Linked DNA regions of Mytilus edulis. The protein of the gene in region 2 binds, or shares a complex with, the protein of the main gene of each other region. Links are inferred from orthologs where the notes say so. Each region holds a gene or a part of one and is shown on either strand. Other genes may lie near its edges. The genes, in order: ADP-ribosylation factor-like protein 6 and BBSome complex member BBS7-like.

Evidence for each region.
Region 1: the proteins of BBSome complex member BBS7-like (region 2) and ADP-ribosylation factor-like protein 6 are in contact, whole or in part, in a cryo-EM structure (PDB 6VBV), measured with the Bos taurus proteins. The link is inferred for Mytilus edulis from reciprocal best matches to the Homo sapiens genes BBS7 and ARL6. Residues at the interface, in NP_001178275.2 of Bos taurus: Leu3, Ile249, Val250, Gly251, Asp300, Gly301, Tyr302, Asp303, Thr319, Glu320, Pro321, His323, Lys324, Glu325, Ser326, Gly327, Pro328; in NP_001069250.1 of Bos taurus: Met132, Asp133, Arg135, Thr139, Ser140, Val141, Ser144, Trp157, His158, Ile159, Cys160, Ala161, Asp163, Lys166.

Annotation. Positions count from the first base shown.
Region 1 is NC_092344.1:97,617,262-97,626,514, forward strand, and holds ADP-ribosylation factor-like protein 6, read right to left. Parts: upstream 3,318-9,253; 5' UTR 3,026-3,317; coding exon 2,447-3,025; 3' UTR 1,916-2,446; downstream 1-1,915. UniProt on the Homo sapiens protein: Involved in membrane protein trafficking at the base of the ciliary organelle. Mediates recruitment onto plasma membrane of the BBSome complex which would constitute a coat complex required for sorting of specific membrane proteins to the primary cilia.
Region 2 is NC_092345.1:61,644,682-61,654,013, forward strand, and holds the start of BBSome complex member BBS7-like, read right to left. Parts: upstream 3,900-9,332; 5' UTR 3,813-3,899; coding exon 3,774-3,812; intron 1-3,773. Other genes in the region: protein disulfide-isomerase A5-like, read left to right, coding at 4,146-4,181.

The DNA.
Region 1 (9,253 bases), on a different chromosome or scaffold from region 2:
GACATTGTTGATCGGGAGACATAATAAAAATCAAAACCCTGAACACATGCACATCTTCAATATATGTACCAACAGACAGCAGAGTGAAAACTTATTATGATTCAAACTATTGAAGATCACACAATTTAGTCTTAGATATGACCTTTTTTTAAGGTCATACAAATTTTGACCCAGAAATTAATAAACCAAACACAACTACTGGATTTGACGTAATAAAGACACTTTATGATTATAGGTCACTTGCTACAGGAGAACTGAAATTGAATGTTAAACTTAAGAAACTAGATTTAAATAAGAAAAAAATGTGTTTCAGAATCCTTTTGAATAAATTTAAAACTCGAAACCACTGAACCATGAAATATGACCATTTGACCTTCATCATACAGCAACAGATCAGCCTTTTCAAATCATTTGCCTGCTTTAATATTATAAATCTGTATGTCCATCAATGTCTGAGCATTTACTGTGAATATCCAGGTGTATGCAGACTCGTAATATCATAAATTTCCTGGTTTAACTTTGTTATGTGGACAACTATAAATGATCATGGATTTCGAAAGTAGGTCAAGGTGGGGGACAAAGTTTTCTTCAAGTTCATGGCCATCTAGATCTACATTTTTTGCAAAAGGATCCGCCTATGATATACATTGTACTTGTATAACATTTCAAAGGTTTAGTGTTGAAGGCTGTACTTTGACCATTAATTGTTTACTTTGTACACAGTGTGACTCAGAAGGAGAGTTGTCACATAGGCACTCATACCACATCTTCTTTATATTTTGATGTATTTACATTATACCTCAAACCCATATTTTTTTTAACGTGTTTCTAAAGGATCTTTTCTGTTGAAATGTTTCCCATAATTCTTCAAATCATATGAACCTGATGTTCATGATATTAGACTAATTTGTGTCAATTAACATCAGTTTTCATAAGTCTCTGTGGCTAATTGATGAGTCCATGTTAATGAAAGCTTATTAACCATCAAGGTTTGATGAAACATCTAATTCAAAACTCTTTTTTTCAAATTACCAACTTTGCTTCCAATGTTAGAATTTTGGGCAATGGGAAACAACTCCTGCTTTATAGAACAAACTATTTTCCAGCTTAAACAATGCACAACTAGGGAAAGGGCTCTAACTGAACAAGGAGAAGAGCTAAAATCATGAAAGTCAAACTTGACCTGTAACTTGTCATGATAAAACAATACACCAAATAACAAATCAATATCTTCAAGCATGAAGAAAAAAGTCTGGAAAACTGATTTGCCGGACTGACAAATGGACAGACGGACAGAGTGCAAACCTAAAGTCGGTAGGGGACTGGGAAACAGCTGATGCCCCCTATAACATATAATGTTATAAAGAGACATACAGTAACTCAAGAATTGTAAAAGTGACACTACCCAAATTTGTACTTGATCTGAGTTTTGAGGTAATTAGCATTGTGTATACATTTCACATATTTAGTTTAGGCAAACTAAAGTTACAGACTGAAACGAAAAATCCAACAATTTTTCCATTTGTAAAGTGGCATACATGTACAGTTACTCTAGAACAGTTAATCGCTACCAAAATTCAACCTTGATCTTTGTTTTGTGGTAATTTAGCATTGTGCATAAGTTCCATAACATTTGGTTAAGGCAAACTAAAGAAAAGGTATGGAAATGTCATTATGAAAAATTCAGTATTTTTTTTCATTTGCAGAGGGACATACATGTAACTCTAGAATGGTAAAATTGATGCAACCAAAATTTAAACCTGATCTGTTTTTTGGGGTAATAATCATTGTGCATAAGTTTTAAGACATTTGGTTGAGGCAAACTAAAGTTAGAGAAAGGAAACCAATTTTTGGACGTACAGATTGCGATTGACAAGGGTAAAACCTACTAAATTATAAAATTGAAAACAAAGTCTTAAGTTTGAATTAGAACAATTCTTGATATTTTTTTGTATCATTTCAATGTAAATTTATTAATTACACTACATGTACAGTACATGTATATAAAATTGAACATTTATAAGAAAAACACGTATACATAAGTCAGTGTTAGTGTTATTTTTTTATCAAATAAAATGTACTGACACATTTACAATTTTAAAAAGGTGTGAAGCAGCCTGTACTAATGAACATACATGTAATAACAAGATGAATATTAATTATATAATTTCAAGAAAACATAACTTTTACACTGAATTGAATTTTCGCTGTAACAGTGTAATACTTTCTTCAATTATTATTTGTCATTTTCGTCCATCATAAAAGAAAATGAAAGAATACAAAAGTCAAGAATTCAGTAAAATATATATCATTGTATATACATTTTTTTGTAACACCAAGTTAAACTGTACATTTGTTTATGATTTCTTTAACTTTGAATATGTACCAAATGTACATATCTCAAATTACTAAAATAACAGCTATCGTTCCTATCAATAAGTGTTAATCATTTGCCTCCATCTATAATATCCCGAAGTTGGTCACTTATCCATTCTACGCCTTCCATAAGACCTTCCCCTGTTAAAGCATTACTTGCACATATATGCCATGGTTTGTTTTTCATGTTTTCTATTTGTTCTAACTGAAGCAAACTAGAAACTTTAACACTGGAAATTGCTTCACGTACATCCATCTTATTGGCAAAGAAAAGAACGGGAATTCTTCTATTAGTAATTTTGGGGTGATTTAGAAGTTGATCCAATTCTTCTTTTGCAACAACCATTCTAAGCTTGTCGCTACTGTCTATCACAAATATAATGCCTTGACATTCTGTGTAGTAATGCTCCCATAGATTTCTGTATCTGCCTTGGCCTGACATATCGAATGCTGTAATTGACAAGGCACTACTTGTAAATTTTTCAACTGTGAAACCGATGGTTGGCACAATGTCGTGAGATTTTGTTTCCTTCGGTTTAAGATGATTAATGATTGTTGTTTTACCACTGTTATCAAGTCCAACAACAATAACATTTGCATCTTTCTTTTTCAAACCAAGCCATTTTGCGAGTTTGTCAAAAAATCCCATCTTTAAGTTTATAGTACTAATACAATTTGTAATAACTATTATGTGTAGAGTCCGTGTGTACGAGTTTCAACCAGTTCTTTGCAAGATTTTGATTTTTGTCAGTGTTATTTTTCCATTTTAAAGCGAATCAGCTCATATCTGAAGGTTCTTGCTTCTTTGACAATTAATTAGTTCATATAAATGGATACAAATACTTGATCAAGGTGTGAAATTCAGGTAAAACTGCTAAAACGTGTAGCCGCTTCCTGTTACCACTGTAAACAACTATTTCCCGTCAAGCAACGGTGATTTTTCTAAATCTTTCGAACGTTTGAAAGAACGTTTTCTCGCATCTATTTATCCATGAAGTTCAAAATAATAATTGACCCTGATTAGAACCGGAAGCAATATTTTTCACTATTTTTATGATTTAAATTTTAGCATTTTCATCTGCATTTAATGGAAAAGAATGAAATAGGCCTAACAGGCGATTTAAATGCTATGCAACCATTTTGAACGCAGTTATGAAACAATGCATATATTATTTTACAACTGACCTGTAAGGTATAACATGATATTGATAATACTATATTTGAAAAATGACCTGGGAACAGTATACCTAAATTATATATATGTCCTAGTCCAAATAATTATGACATCTTGAAAGGCTATTATATTTTTTTTCTTTGACGCCTTACATCACGTCATAATTATTTGGACTATATATGTCCCTGACATGACCAATAATTTACAAAGGTTTATTATTTTTTGAAAATCACACATCACAATATATTCTTCTGCTGTGTTACATTAATATGAGGCAGTCATTACCTGTGAATGGGGACGAAGTCTGAATTATTTTCTTTTTTATTTAAACATGTTGATAAACGGAAATACCGTAACGTTTCCGATATTGGTTCGTTGTTAGGGATTTCCTTGTGACGTTATTTAAGTAATGACTTCATATTCAATGTATACAAAGAAACGCTGTTATCAGGTTACGTTTTTTTTTATAATATGAGGCAGGCAATACCTGTAAGGGAGCTACCATTTGATTTTTATGGGGGGGCTAGGATGAAAAATTTTGTCCTGCATTTTTTTTTAGTTGTAATCTCTGTCCTGCCTTTTTATTTTTCACTCTATTCGGTCCTGCTTTTTTTTTTTTAGTTTATCCTGACTTTTTTTACATAAATTGTCATCCTGACTTCTTTTTTTTTGCAAGTGTCTCATCCTGCCTTTTTTTTTTACTCAAAACTTCTGTCCTGCCTATTTTTTTCAAATTTCATCCTGGGTGTTGAATTCCTTCCTATGTTTGTTGATATGTTGATAAATATACATTTTATTCAAAGTCTCATGCAAACAAGACCGGCCGGAAAACGTTTGTGCGCAGATGCAGACTGGGAAAAGGAAGTAGATCTAAAAAAAAAGTTAACGATTTTGAGTTCATTAGAAGAATAAAAAATCGGGGAATTTTCCCGAATTTTTTATTTTTTATTGATTTTTCTAACGTAATTGGGGACTTCGTCCCCATCTCAAACAATTATTAAAAATGATTGGGTGTTGAATTCCTTCCTATATTTATTGATATGTTGATAAATATACATTTCATTCAAAGTCTCAGCCAACAAGACCGGAACAGGAAGTAGATCTGAAAAAAAAGTTAACGATTTTGAGCTCATTAGTACAATGAAAAATTCGTGAAATTTTCCCGATTTTTTTTTGGATTTTTTTTTTGTTTGAATTTTCTACCGTAATTGGGGACTTTGTCCCCATATCATATGTTGCAAGCAGTTATCTCTGTTGACAAACATGATTAAATCTTAAAATTACTTGATTTAAAAGAGTATCAGGTGCTCTCATCTAAAATAAACATTAGAAATATGGTGAAAGAGAAATTATATTTAAAGTATTGCAGCATATGGAAGAAAAAATTATTTAATGATAAAAGACAAAATAAGACCTCTGGAAATAAACTTAGAACTTATCGATTATTTAAACCAAATTTTAATTTTGAGCCTTACTTATTGAAATTACCATATATATTCAAAAATGTGTTTTTACAAGATTTAGAATTGGAGCTCACAAACTTGAAATAGAAAAAGGTCGTTACTTTAATATTAAACTAGAAAATAGAATATGCAAACTCTGTAATGAGGAAATAGAAGATGAGATGCATTTTCTTTTAACATGTAAAACTTTGGATAATGTTAGAAATCCCTTTCTAAGCAAAATATATAGTAAAAATAAAAATATTTCAAAACTTGATAACAAATCTCTTTTTATTTGGCTAATGGGAAATGAAGATAAAAACATTTTGATAATAATTTGTCAATCATTAGAGGTTTTAAATATAAACAGAAATACAACTTTAAATTAGATTTCTCTATATAAAGATATAGAATGATATGTATGATCAAATATGCATTTACATTAGTTATTTCTTTTACATTTAATAAATTATTAGCATACTATGAGGTGTACTGTCCAATAAAGGGACCAGAGTAACAGACAATTGGTCATATTATATTATATATATTTTTATTATTACAAATTGCCCAGTCTGCACGGTTAGCCACTAGTCTGATGCCCCAGACTAGTAAAATTTTATTCGGACTAGTAAGTTTTTGCAAAACTTTGTTTGGCCCAATAAGAAAAGTGTCAGAATATTGGTCTTCGGACTAGTAGTTGAAAAAGTTTTTTGGTGCAGACTGATTTGCCTACTTCATTTGCTTTAATATTTTATATCAATCAATCAAATCAAAATCAATCATATTATGTACTTTGTTTAACCTATTTTTAATTTACTTTACATTATGTTTGAAAATTATATTGTAATTATTCTGCTCATTTTGGGCGTCGTGATTGACAAATAAAATATCTGTTGTTTGTTTGTTCTGTTGAAGTCCGTGTTTTCCCTCGCCTTACTCAAAATTTTGGAAAAGTCTTGTCACTGCACTCCAATTTTTAATATTCTTTAATTTCTCGTTCTTCAATGTTATCCTTTGGTTATGGCACCACAAATCAACTATCGTATCATAGAAAGAAAACAACTATACTATTTAATTTTTACTTCATATATATATATTCTGAATTTTGCTAAGACTACATGCATGTACATCATGTCATGTACTTCGGCACTGACAGTATCAGGTCTGTTCACACCCAATACACTTTTGCACCCCACACCTTCGCACCTCACATGTTTGCCCCCGAAGTCCGTTCACACCCTGCACGTTCACACCCAATTTTTATTGGAATTTCAGTTGAATTTTTTAGATATTTCTTTTATATGTATATACCAAATATTTTTATTGTATACTGCAACTACCTGGGTTTATTTCCTAAATATAGTAACATAGCTATATTTTGTATAATGTCTATTTCATCATGAAACACTGTCTCCACAATCAGGGGTCCATTAAGAGATGAAAATAAGTTTGACATTTCTGTTACGATTTAAAAAGCTATCTGTATTAATTTAAGTTCATTTAGTTGCCGTATAAAAACAATATTAGGTCAATGTTCTAAATTTTTTTTTAAATTGTACTCTATGCAAAACTTTCTAAGCCTCATACAAAAAAGTTATATTTTCCTGACATTGACCATGTTGACCTAATATTGTATATGTCTTGAATAAGATTTGAGGAATTATTTTACAGATTTCATTTTTTACAGCTTGGCTCCTTTTATCTCATGAAGATGAAAAAATGTGTGTTTGTCAGAATCCTAATTCCTTTTGAAACAATGAAAAGAAATATTTATAGAAATACACTTTAATACCATGACACAAAAAAAATAACTTGTCAGAATCTCACTTTATTTAGAAACAATAAAAAAATATATATGCATAGCAATACATTTCCAAAAACTTGTTTACAAATTATTAAACACAAAACCAATAACAATTGGGCACGAAAGTGTAGGGTGCGAACAGACTTTGGGTGCGAAATTGAAAGGGGGCAAACTTGATTGGACACGAACGGACTGACATCGACCCTACATGTACATGTAAATTAAATCAGTACAATGTGACGTTGTAACTCCCACAGTATTCTCAACACATATAGTCAAAACAAATAGCACATAACAAATATACATAAAAAAGCACAGTATTGTGAAAAAAGAATCATCATGATCATAGACTGTATAATAATCAGCACTTTGAATATTTAATTGGTCTGTTTCAATTTGGATGCACAATCTGTTGGTGCATTTCTTATTTTTATGCCCCACCTACGATAATAGAGGGGCATTATGTTTTCTGGTCTGTGCGTCCGTCCGTCCGTTCGTCCGTCCGTCCGTCTGTTCGTCCATCTGTGCCACTTCAGGTTAAAGTTTTTGGTCAAGGTAGTTTTTGATGAAGTTGAAGTCCAATTGACTTCAAACTTGGTACGTATGTTCCCTATGATATGATCTTTCTAATTTTAATGCCAAATTAGAGATCTTATCCGAATTTTACGGTCCACTGAACATAGAAAATGATAGTGCGAGTGGGGCATTTGTGTACTGAGGACACATTCTAGATTTTAATCTATTTTTTGTACCTTAACCCCTATAACATAATATGATGCAAGTGTCAGATCAAATGTTGTTGTTTTTTTTAAGTTAAATGAATTTGTATGAAACAGTAAGAAAAAAAATTGAAGATTTTGAGTTGATAAGTGGACTGATTTTCTGTTTTATTGTTTTTCTTACTTTTTTTGGAGACTTAAGTAAATGTCATATTAATTGGAATACTGGTCATTCTCAGTCTAAATAATAAAATGTAGAATTATCACAAGTGGCATTGAACTAAAAAAAATGTCAAATATATTTTGTGATTGCTGTTATAATTTTTATATGACCGCAAAATTTGAAAAATGTTTCGTCGTATATTGCTATCACATTGGCGTCGTCGTCTGCGTCGTCGTTTTCCGAATACTTTTAGTTTTCGCACTCTAACTTTAGTAAAAGTGAATGGAAATCTATGAAATTTTAACACAAGGTTTATGACCACAAAAGGAAGGTTGGTATTGATTTTGGGAGTTTTGGTCCCAACATTTTAGGAATTAGGGGCCAAAAAGGGCCCAAATAAGCATTTTCTTGGTTTTCGCACTATAACTTTAGTTTAAGTTAATAGAAATCTATGAAATTTTGACACAAGGTTTATGACCACAAAAGAACGGTTGGGATTGATTTTGGGAGTTTTGGTTTCAACAGTTTAGGAATTAGGGGCCAAAAAAGGGCCCAAATAAGCATTATTCTTGGTTTTCGCACAATAACTTTAGTTTAGGTGAATAGAAATCTATGAAATTTAAACACAATGTTAATGACTACAAAAGTAAGGTTGGTATTGATTTTGGGAGTTTTGGTCCCAACAGTTTAGGAATTAGGGGCCAAAAAGGGACCCAAATAAGCATTTTTCTTGGTTTTCGCACCATAACGTTAGTATAAGTAAATAGAAATCTATGAAATTTAAACACAAGGTTTATGACCATAAAAGGAAGGTTGGTATTGATTTTGAAAGTTTTGATCCCAACAGAATAAGGGGCACAAAGGGTCCAAAATTAAACTTTGTTTGATTTCATCACAATTGAATAATTGGGGTTCTTTGATATGTCGAATCTAACTGTCATGACTGTGTATGAAGATTCTTAACTTTTGGTCCCGTTTTCAAATTGGTCTACATTAAGGTCCAAAGGGTCCAAAATTAAACTAACTTTGATTTTGACAAAAAATGAATCAGTTAGGTTCTTTGATATGCTGAATCTAAAAATGTACTTAGATTCTTGATTATTGGCCCAGTTTTCAAGTTGGTCCAAATCGGGGTCCAAAATTAAACTTTGTTTGATTTCATCAAAAATTGAATAAATGGGGTTCTTTGATATACCAAATCTAACTGTGTATGTAGATTCTTCATTTTTATGCCCCACCTACGATAGTAGAGGGGCATTATGTTTTCTGGTCTGTGCGTCTGTTCGTCCGTCCGTCTGTTCGTTCGTTCGTTTGTCCGTTCGCCTGTCTGTCCCGCTTCAGGTTAAAGTTTTTGGTCAAGGTAGTTTTTGATGAAGTTGAAGTCCAATCAAATTGAAACTTAGTATACATGTGCCCTATGATATGATCTTTCTAATGTAAATGCCAAATTATAGTTTTGACCCCAATTTTACGGTTCACTGAACATAGAAAATGATAGTGCAAATTTCAGGTTAAAGTTTTTGGTCAAGGTAGTTTTTGATAAAGTAGAAGTCAAATCAACTTGAAACTTAGTAT
Region 2 (9,332 bases):
AGCAATGTAGTCAGTCTAGTCAGTGTGCACGTGAATTGACACAGGTGACCGACAATGGAATTTACTATGTTACTACGAACGTAAAAACAATGATTTGTATAGTTTACAAACCTTTGGCCAAAAGATTTAAATAAATGTTTTGCTAACTTCAAATAGTGAGGTCAAAAAAGTATACTGATATTCTAAGTTCTTTATGCATGCAGCAACTCAATTATCTTGTACCCGGCATGATGTCAGAGAAATATAAGGATAAAATAAAATACATGTGCCGCTTTTATACGGATGAATAAATGAACCACTTTTAATTTCTTTCATACCTACGATAGGTTATAATCCTTACAATGTCGTAGTCACTTATAAAGTATTTCATAATACTGATCCTGCTTTACAATAATTAATGATGGGTTGCACTGACATTCCTCCTTTATTATTGTCATGCTAAAACATACATACAGTAGCTACCATAAAAGGAGGAAGTTGTTCCCCAAAGATAGAAACAAAATAACTAATCGTATCAATTGTGCACCTGAATGAATTCAGTGAAGATTATTTCTTTCGAATGTTTGGAACTAAATAAATATTAATACTTGTGAGGAATGTCGTAGTTTATAAGGAACAACTCCCGTTTAAATTGTTTTTACATTGTCATTTCTGGGCCTTTTATAGCTGACTATGCGGTATGGGCTTTGCTCATTTTTGAAAGCCGTACCATGGCCTTTAGTTGTTAATTTCTGTGTCATTGTGGTCTCTTGTGGAGAGTTGTGGCATTGGCAATCATACCACATCTTCTTTATTACATATAAATGTACTGTTTTCGATTATGAATGTGTGAATATTAATTTTTTAAATTTATACTGTAACAATAGAGTTGCATAACATTGTTGAACAATCCGCTAAAGTATATGTAGTATGTATTCGTATTTGAAATAAAATACAAAACGAAACGTGTATGATAAACTGATAAAAAATATCAAGAAATTAAGGATGACTAAATGTATGTACAAGATGAAACTCACCTTTTTATAAATACATTTAAATGATTTAATGAATACAGACATTGTTTGTTTGTATTTACATAGATATAGGAAGATGTGGTGTGAGTGCCAATAAGACAACTCTCCATCCAAATAACAATTTATAAAAGTAAACCATTATAGGTCAATGTAAGGCCTTCAATACAGAGCCTTGGCTCACACTGAACAACAAGCTATAAAGGGCCCCAAAATTACTAGTGTAAAACCATTCAACTTGGGAAAACCAACGGTTTAATATTTACAATATATAATTTACGTTCGTTTTTTCAACCGAGAATAGCAAAACCTCATGAATTATATCGTTTGTATAAACTTCATTTAATTATCCGCTGTGCCATGATTGGCCATCTCCATTTTTTTCTTAACAAAGCGTGTTACATGTTATGAATTTACTTACAATTTTGGAATTTATTTTTTTCCTTCAAGTTATAATGGAATCAGAAAAAAAATCACTATTCTATGAAGAATATCTAAAACTTGGCAAACAATATGAAAAGTGTTTGTAGTAAAGTATACAGTTTCATTTTTCAAGTACAACGTTAATTCATCGAGTCCATTGAGTAAAAGAGAAGGCAGGATAAGCAACTTGGGTGTGTCAATGAAAAAAAATATGTGAATTGAGGTTTTTTTTTTATCCTACATTAAACTTTTGATGTCGTCCCTTGATTTAGAGGAGATATTTAAATTGAATATTTTAACTGTTAAGATTTTAAAGTTTAAACTTTACTACCAATTAATTGCAGAAAATTATAACACAAATGAATTTCACATGCACATTAAGCTAGAATTGTGATTAGAATCATGCATGCGAATACGACGATAGAAGCTTTAGACGACCTTGACCAGCTACGTGAATATTAATCAGTCCATTCAACGTTAAAGTACGCGTGTTCTATTTTTGCAGGTGTGAGGTCGAAGGTTTGAATTGACCAATGAAAACGATCGTTCCTTAGAGAGTTAATCTAATAAAGTTTGTTTGTCTGATTATGTCGGCTTTCGGGTCGATCCGGCCCCACGTCGATCCGGCCCAAGTCGATCCGTCCCACGTCGATCCGGCCCCACGTCGATCCGGCCCAAATGTAAAGTCGATCCGGCCCCAATAAAAAAAAATATTTCTAAGGAATAAAAATAAATATATATTAATTGTAATTCATAAATGTTTATTATTTTTATTATAATGTTAAAGGTGTACGGTAAAAAAAAGTAAAAAAGGCCTTTGAAAAATATTTTCTTTAGATGAGTATAAAACAACTAGGTTGATTATGTCTTTATTACAAGTTTTTAAGATTATTGGGTATAATTATATTAAAACGTATATAAAAAAATTCAGACATCAACATTAATCAGCAGTAATGTAATTAGCATTTTCTTTCAATTGACTGTGATCCTAACAAGTCTTTCATCTTGTGTAACATATAATAACAAATAGTTACATACATGAACGGTACAAGCCGATCCCCAAGCTGATAAATATTAACTTTTTTTTTTCTTTTTAGGTTCTTGACATTTCTAAAATTGAGAAATGTTGTTTGATTTGCCGAATCCTTTCTATGAACATGATAAAAGGGTGCTGATATTATATTTTAGAGAGTGAAAACGTGCATTCAATGTCATTGTTTTGTTGTTTTCTTGCAATAAAGAATAATGGATACTCATATGACTTCTTTTTTTTTTATCTACACACTATTCAAAATATTGTCAAAATAAGAAAAATATATTGACTATATCCGATGTTACAAAAAAATATTTTTATATGGTATAGAAGCCTATGATGTAACCTGGAAAAAAAATACAAATAATTATTTTAATATACACCAACCAGAAGATCAAACTATAAAGACCTTGTTGAAAAACGGATTACGTAACTTTAATTAATCAGCATTGGATTGAATTAAGTGATTTATCATTACGAGTCGCATTACCTTAGTTCACAATCATCAGACAACTGTTGAATAAACAAACCAATTATAGACTAATGATTTGATTAAATAAGTCATTATTATGCGTTAAATTTTATAGGTCCACTGGACTGTAAATATTTATTTAGCTATTCTGTGTGTGAACTGAATAAAATAAAAATCGCCATGAAATTCAAAGTAAAAGTTATCATGGAAAATAACTTCATAATTTAAAAATGAATAAAACTGCGATACAAACAGACACAATAACACTAATTTCCGTATGGATTTAAAATAGTTCGTTAACTGGTACTCCAATACTTCACTGACCTGTTGTCACCCATCATCAATCGGAGACTTTTTTCAAATTCCATTTATACTGTTAAAGTTTGTGACAAATTCCTCCAAAATCTAGTTAATTCATATTTTATTATGGGGCCGGATCGACTTGGGGACGGATCGACGTGGGCCGGATCGACTTGGGCCGGATCGACTTAGGGCCGGATTGACTTGGGGCCGGATCGGTTTGGGGCCGGAACGACCGGATACCATTATGTCGCACGACCTATCGCGAAGCTTGGCCGCAGTTGGGTATAACACCTCCCTCATATTAAAGTTAGGGAAGCTACACTTTCAAAAAAAATTGTTCATCTAATATAGTTGGTGGAATATAAAGAGTAAACTGTAGCCTATCTTAAACAGTTAAAGCTTGGTATGTTGGTCAAGCAGGAAAAACAATCTGCATCTTTGAGTTTGAGTGCAGCCTTTAAGTATGCATTAATTCTAATTTGAACTTGAACAAAAGATTGACATGTTATCATGTAGATAAATGAAATTCAACCTGGAGGTAATCAACTCGTGATAAGTTTAATTCCATCATCTTGAACGTATTTTGTATTTTGGAATGTTGAATGTTGCCAAGTATAGAACTTCCGGTATTGCTAAGTTATGCATCACGTATATAGTTAAATTTTTTCTCTCTCTTTTGAATAATTCATGGTCGTTGTTTTTAAACATTAATTTGATTCGTGGAAGATATTTTTCATTTAACCATAATTCATTAAGACAACATAATAGTTGTATTTGGAATCTCAGTCATGTCAAATGGAATGTTTAAAAAGTTCGGGAAAAAGGAGATTTTTACCTTAACTGTGAAGAGCTCTACCCAAATGATAAGGCTACCGGCTACATACCAATACGTGGCATTATAAGGATGGCAAGGATATATTTATTGCTTTTAATCTTAATGGTAATGATTTTTTGATACTTTACATTAATTTTCAGGTACCCGCAAAACTTTTGCACCATTATAAATTCAAAATGCATTGTTGATTGAACAAAAATATATCCACTGACTGTCATGCTCTATACATCATTACACAGTCATAGATGTACACATGTTCTTAGTTATGATAAACATGATATACGTGTATATAGTCAAGCATGTCAACAAAATGAATGTAAAAGAATGCTGGCATTGTTTTCTCTATTGACCATCAATGATCAGATACTGAGTCATCTGATACGCATACATTTACTTTCTGAAGCAAATTGTATACAATACATATTTTCAAATAAGGGAATTTCACAGAAAAATCTGCATTAAAAAGCAAGGTTCAGCTTATACAAGGTGTGTTTTGACCCAAAAGTTATCCTAGGTCAACAGCATGATAGGGACATTTGATTCATCATGTTCATAATTAAAACAAAGTCCAAACAAGTCTTTTTTGTACTCATTGGTTTGTAAAACTGCTGTCAGTTTAGGAATTTCAAAGTTCAAATAACTTTGGAATCAGAACATTGTATTTTGATTTATTTAACAGTCAGGGGACTTACTTAAACAAGTGATTTTCTAAATCACTGATTCAAGTAACATTATTTCCATAAAGGTTTGAAGTTAGAGTTGTCTTTCTTTAATAATCACCTATTTAAGTAGTACAAATTAATCACTAGAAGAAGTGATTTAATATTAGTGTAGCTTTAAATATAGAATACTAATGATCCAGGGACTAATTATGTTTCTAAACTTATCAGAACCAACATCTGTGTTGTCTAGGATGACCAGGTCATTTCAGGTGATGACCTTGTACTGAATCTAGGATAATGACATAAAAATCACTTGTTTAAGTGTCAGACCTCAATTTCCTTCCCAAAATCACTTCTTTAAGTATCATTCTTTTAATAACCCCCACTAATTTCAACACCCCCGAACAGTGAAATTTTTATCGCGAACAGTAGAATTTTATTACATAATCTGAAAGATGAAACCTTGAACTTCACAGGAAAAATACTCCCACTGCTGTGAAAAATCTTTGAAGAAAGTATCAGTTCATTATGTAAAGCCATTATTGTAGCATTTTTTCAACTAAAATAGAATTTTCAGGTAAATGATAGCATCAAAGGCATAAACCTTGCTACTTAAAAGAAGCAAAAAGTTCATATTTTTTAATTTTACTAATTAAAAGATGTTATTTAATCCTATGTGTTTAAAATTTTGAAAAAACTACAAAATCCCAATTTGTGACAAAACCTTGAATTTGCTACTCAAATAAGTGATTTAAAAATCACTTATTTCAGTAAGTCCCCTGACTGTTTAAGATAAACTTTAGTTGATATTATTGTTTTTTTAAATACAAAATTATCTGTACATGTATCACAACTTCAGAGCCCAAGGCTGACACTGTCACATGACTGTTTTGTATGTTATCAAGTGGACATGAAGCTGAAATCTGAAACAAAGCAATTTAATAAAATTATAGTTGTTTAAATGAGCCACAGAAAGTACAAATCACAATTTTTAACCCCTACCACAAACTGTTCATATTTAATGTGTCCTTAGAACTACAAAAAAAGTTGAAATGTGACTTAATTTTCAACAAATACATCTACATTAGCATGTTATACATTAATGAAGTTCCTAAGTCATGTAAGTCAATGTAAGTAAATAAAATTTATGAACCAGAACACTTGGATTTGAAAAGTTGAGTAGTGAAATTACTTTAAACATGTTTAAACTTAAATATGTTTGTTAAAAGAAAGTGGTTTAATTTAATGTATTTTGATCAAACTAAGACAATTTCTTGAAAGTAAAGCTGAGATTAGATGCTTTCAGGTTATTAGTGAATTAAGAATATGGTTGTTCACACATTTTGTCAGTCGTGTTAGTAGATAGCATTTATAGAGAGGCAAATTTTTAATAACAAAACTTGTGCTAGACAAATGAAATTGAAGTTAAATATAAGTTATCTCCCTTTGTTCATTATACTTTGTCACTGATACACACGATTATGATTATATGATAGTATTATACTTTTACATTTTAAAATTGGAGAAGAACACACATCCATGTGTGTGTGTACATGTGTTGGTCTTCATGTTCTTTGAGCATGTTAGATGAGATCTACAGCTTAATTAAAATAGGATTACAATACAAAAATGTGCTAATAAATATTGAAGCAGTCTAAACAACAAGCCAGTTCTAATACACTCATGGGTAGTACTTGTACAAGTATTATTTTAAAATATACACATATAAGTTAGTTATAACATATAATGTTTGAATAATCTCCCCTTAATTTTCTCAAAAAATCACTTGTAATTTTTCTTACAATCTCGCAACAATTCTCAAGTTTAGAGATGTAAAATCATGTCTTTAATGATTTTTCCCAGGTTAGCTCATAATTTTTGATAAGAGTTCAATGTTTCATCTCATTATTTCAACAAAGAAACTGATTGTGCAAAGATCTTAAGTATTTGTGCAAGGCCTTCAAAAATTGCTCCTTGGGGCTTGTAAATGAGCAGTGTTCTGAAGATAACAGACAAACAGGATTTTCATTTCCCATGAAATTACACTGAAATGATTAGTAAAGACATCTGCAAAGGGCAGACAAATTAAGATTCTATAAGAGCAAAGAAATCCTAAGAATTCAAGAAAAGAAGATAGGATGACTTTTTTACTTATACAAGTAAAAAAATCTGAATGTGTAAGGGACATAACTAAGCCAATTTTTTTGTTACCTACACAACATGTGCAAGTAAATAAAATTCACTTGTACAAGTATCCTACAAATTAACTTATAAGTGTATATTTATTTTTACTTCCTCAAGTAGTACCCCTGACTGTAATATTATAAGTTGATTTCAGGCCAAAAAAGAAAACACAATACTTGTACATGATGTATCAAGGTTTCCCTACCTATCCTTTTGTTACCATGGTAATGCCTCAAATTGCCTACCCTTAAGTTTTTATTGCTTCTGTTATTGGCAGTAAATCTCAACAAAAATTAAAGGTCTCTCCATGTTTCAAAGGTATAAAAATATTGAGATAGATGAAAAGGAATTAATATGTAGACCTTAATTTTCTTGAGTCATGAATGTAAGTAGGAAATCTGAAATATACATGTATATTGAAACAATACTGTACAAAATTCTAATCTTTTAAATGAAAAACTTTATATTTCCCAAACATTATGAACAATGCCTTCTGAGATAAAGAAGACCACATAAGAGATGAGGTCACTAGGTCAAATGTAAAAGTCATAACATGTCTAAATAAAGTTTTGGTTTTTATAATTTATCTCATAGTCATTTATATTTTTTTAAATGTTAATTGATTTTACAAGTATATTATCAGTCAGGGGACTTACTTAAACAAGTGATTTTCTAAATCACTGATTCAAGTAACATTATTTCCATAAAGGTTTGAAGTTAGAGTTGTCTTTCTTTAATAATCACCTATTTAAGTAGTACAAATTAATCACTAGAAGAAGTGATTTAATATTAGTGTAGCTTTAAATATAGAATACTAATGATCCAGGGACTAATTATGTTTCTAAACTTATCAGAACCAACATCTGTGTTGTCTAGGATGACCAGGTCATTTCAGGTGATGACCTTGTACTGAATCTAGGATAATGACATAAAAATCACTTGTTTAAGTGTCAGACCTCAATTTCCTTCCCAAAATCACTTCTTTAAGTATCATTCTTTTAATAACCCCCACTAATTTCAACACCCCCGAACAGTGAAATTTTTATCGCGAACAGTAGAATTTTATTACATAATCTGAAAGATGAAACCTTGAACTTCACAGGAAAAATACTCCCACTGCTGTGAAAAATCTTTGAAGAAAGTATCAGTTCATTATGTAAAGCCATTATTATAGCATTTTTTCAACTAAAATAGAATTTTCAGGTAAATGATAGCATCAAAGGCATAAACCTTGCTACTTAAAAGAAGCAAAAAGTTCATATTTTTTAATTTTACTAATTAAAAGATGTTATTTAATCCTATGTGTTTAAAATTTTGAAAAAACTACAAAATCCCAATTTGTGACAAAACCTTGAATTTGCTACTCAAATAAGTGATTTAAAAATCACTTATTTCAGTAAGTCCCCTGACTGTTTAAGATAAACTTTAGTTGATATTATTGTTTTTTTAAATACAAAATTATCTGTACATGTATCACAACTTCAGAGCCCAAGGCTGACACTGTCACATGACTGTTTTGTATGTTATCAAGTGGACATGAAGCTGAAATCTGAAACAAAGCAATTTAATAAAATTATAGTTGTTTAAATGAGCCACAGAAAGTACAAATCACAATTTTTAACCCCTACCACAAACTGTTCATATTTAATGTGTCCTTAGAACTACAAAAAAAGTTGAAATGTGACTTAATTTTCAACAAATACATCTACATTAGCATGTTATACATTAATGAAGTTCCTAAGTCATGTAAGTCAATGTAAGTAAATAAAATTTATGAACCAGAACACTTGGATTTGAAAAGTTGAGTAGTGAAATTACTTTAAACATGTTTAAACTTAAATATGTTTGTTAAAAGAAAGTGGTTTAATTTAATGTATTTTGATCAAACTAAGACAATTTCTTGAAAGTAAAGCTGAGATTAGATGCTTTCAGGTTATTAGTGAATTAAGAATATGGTTGTTCACACATTTTGTCAGTCGTGTTAGTAGATAGCATTTATAGAGAGGCAAATTTTTAATAACAAAACTTGTGCTAGACAAATGAAATTGAAGTTAAATATAAGTTATCTCCCTTTGTTCATTATACTTTGTCACTGATACACACGATTATGATTATATGATAGTATTATACTTTTACATTTTAAAATTGGAGAAGAACACACATCCATGTGTGTGTGTACATGTGTTGGTCTTCATGTTCTTTGAGCATGTTAGATGAGATCTACAGCTTAATTAAAATAGGATTACAATACAAAAATGTGCTAATAAATATTGAAGCAGTCTAAACAACAAGCCAGTTCTAATACACTCATGGGTAGTACTTGTACAAGTATTATTTTAAAATATACACATATAAGTTAGTTATAACATATAATGTTTGAATAATCTCCCCTTAATTTTCTCAAAAAATC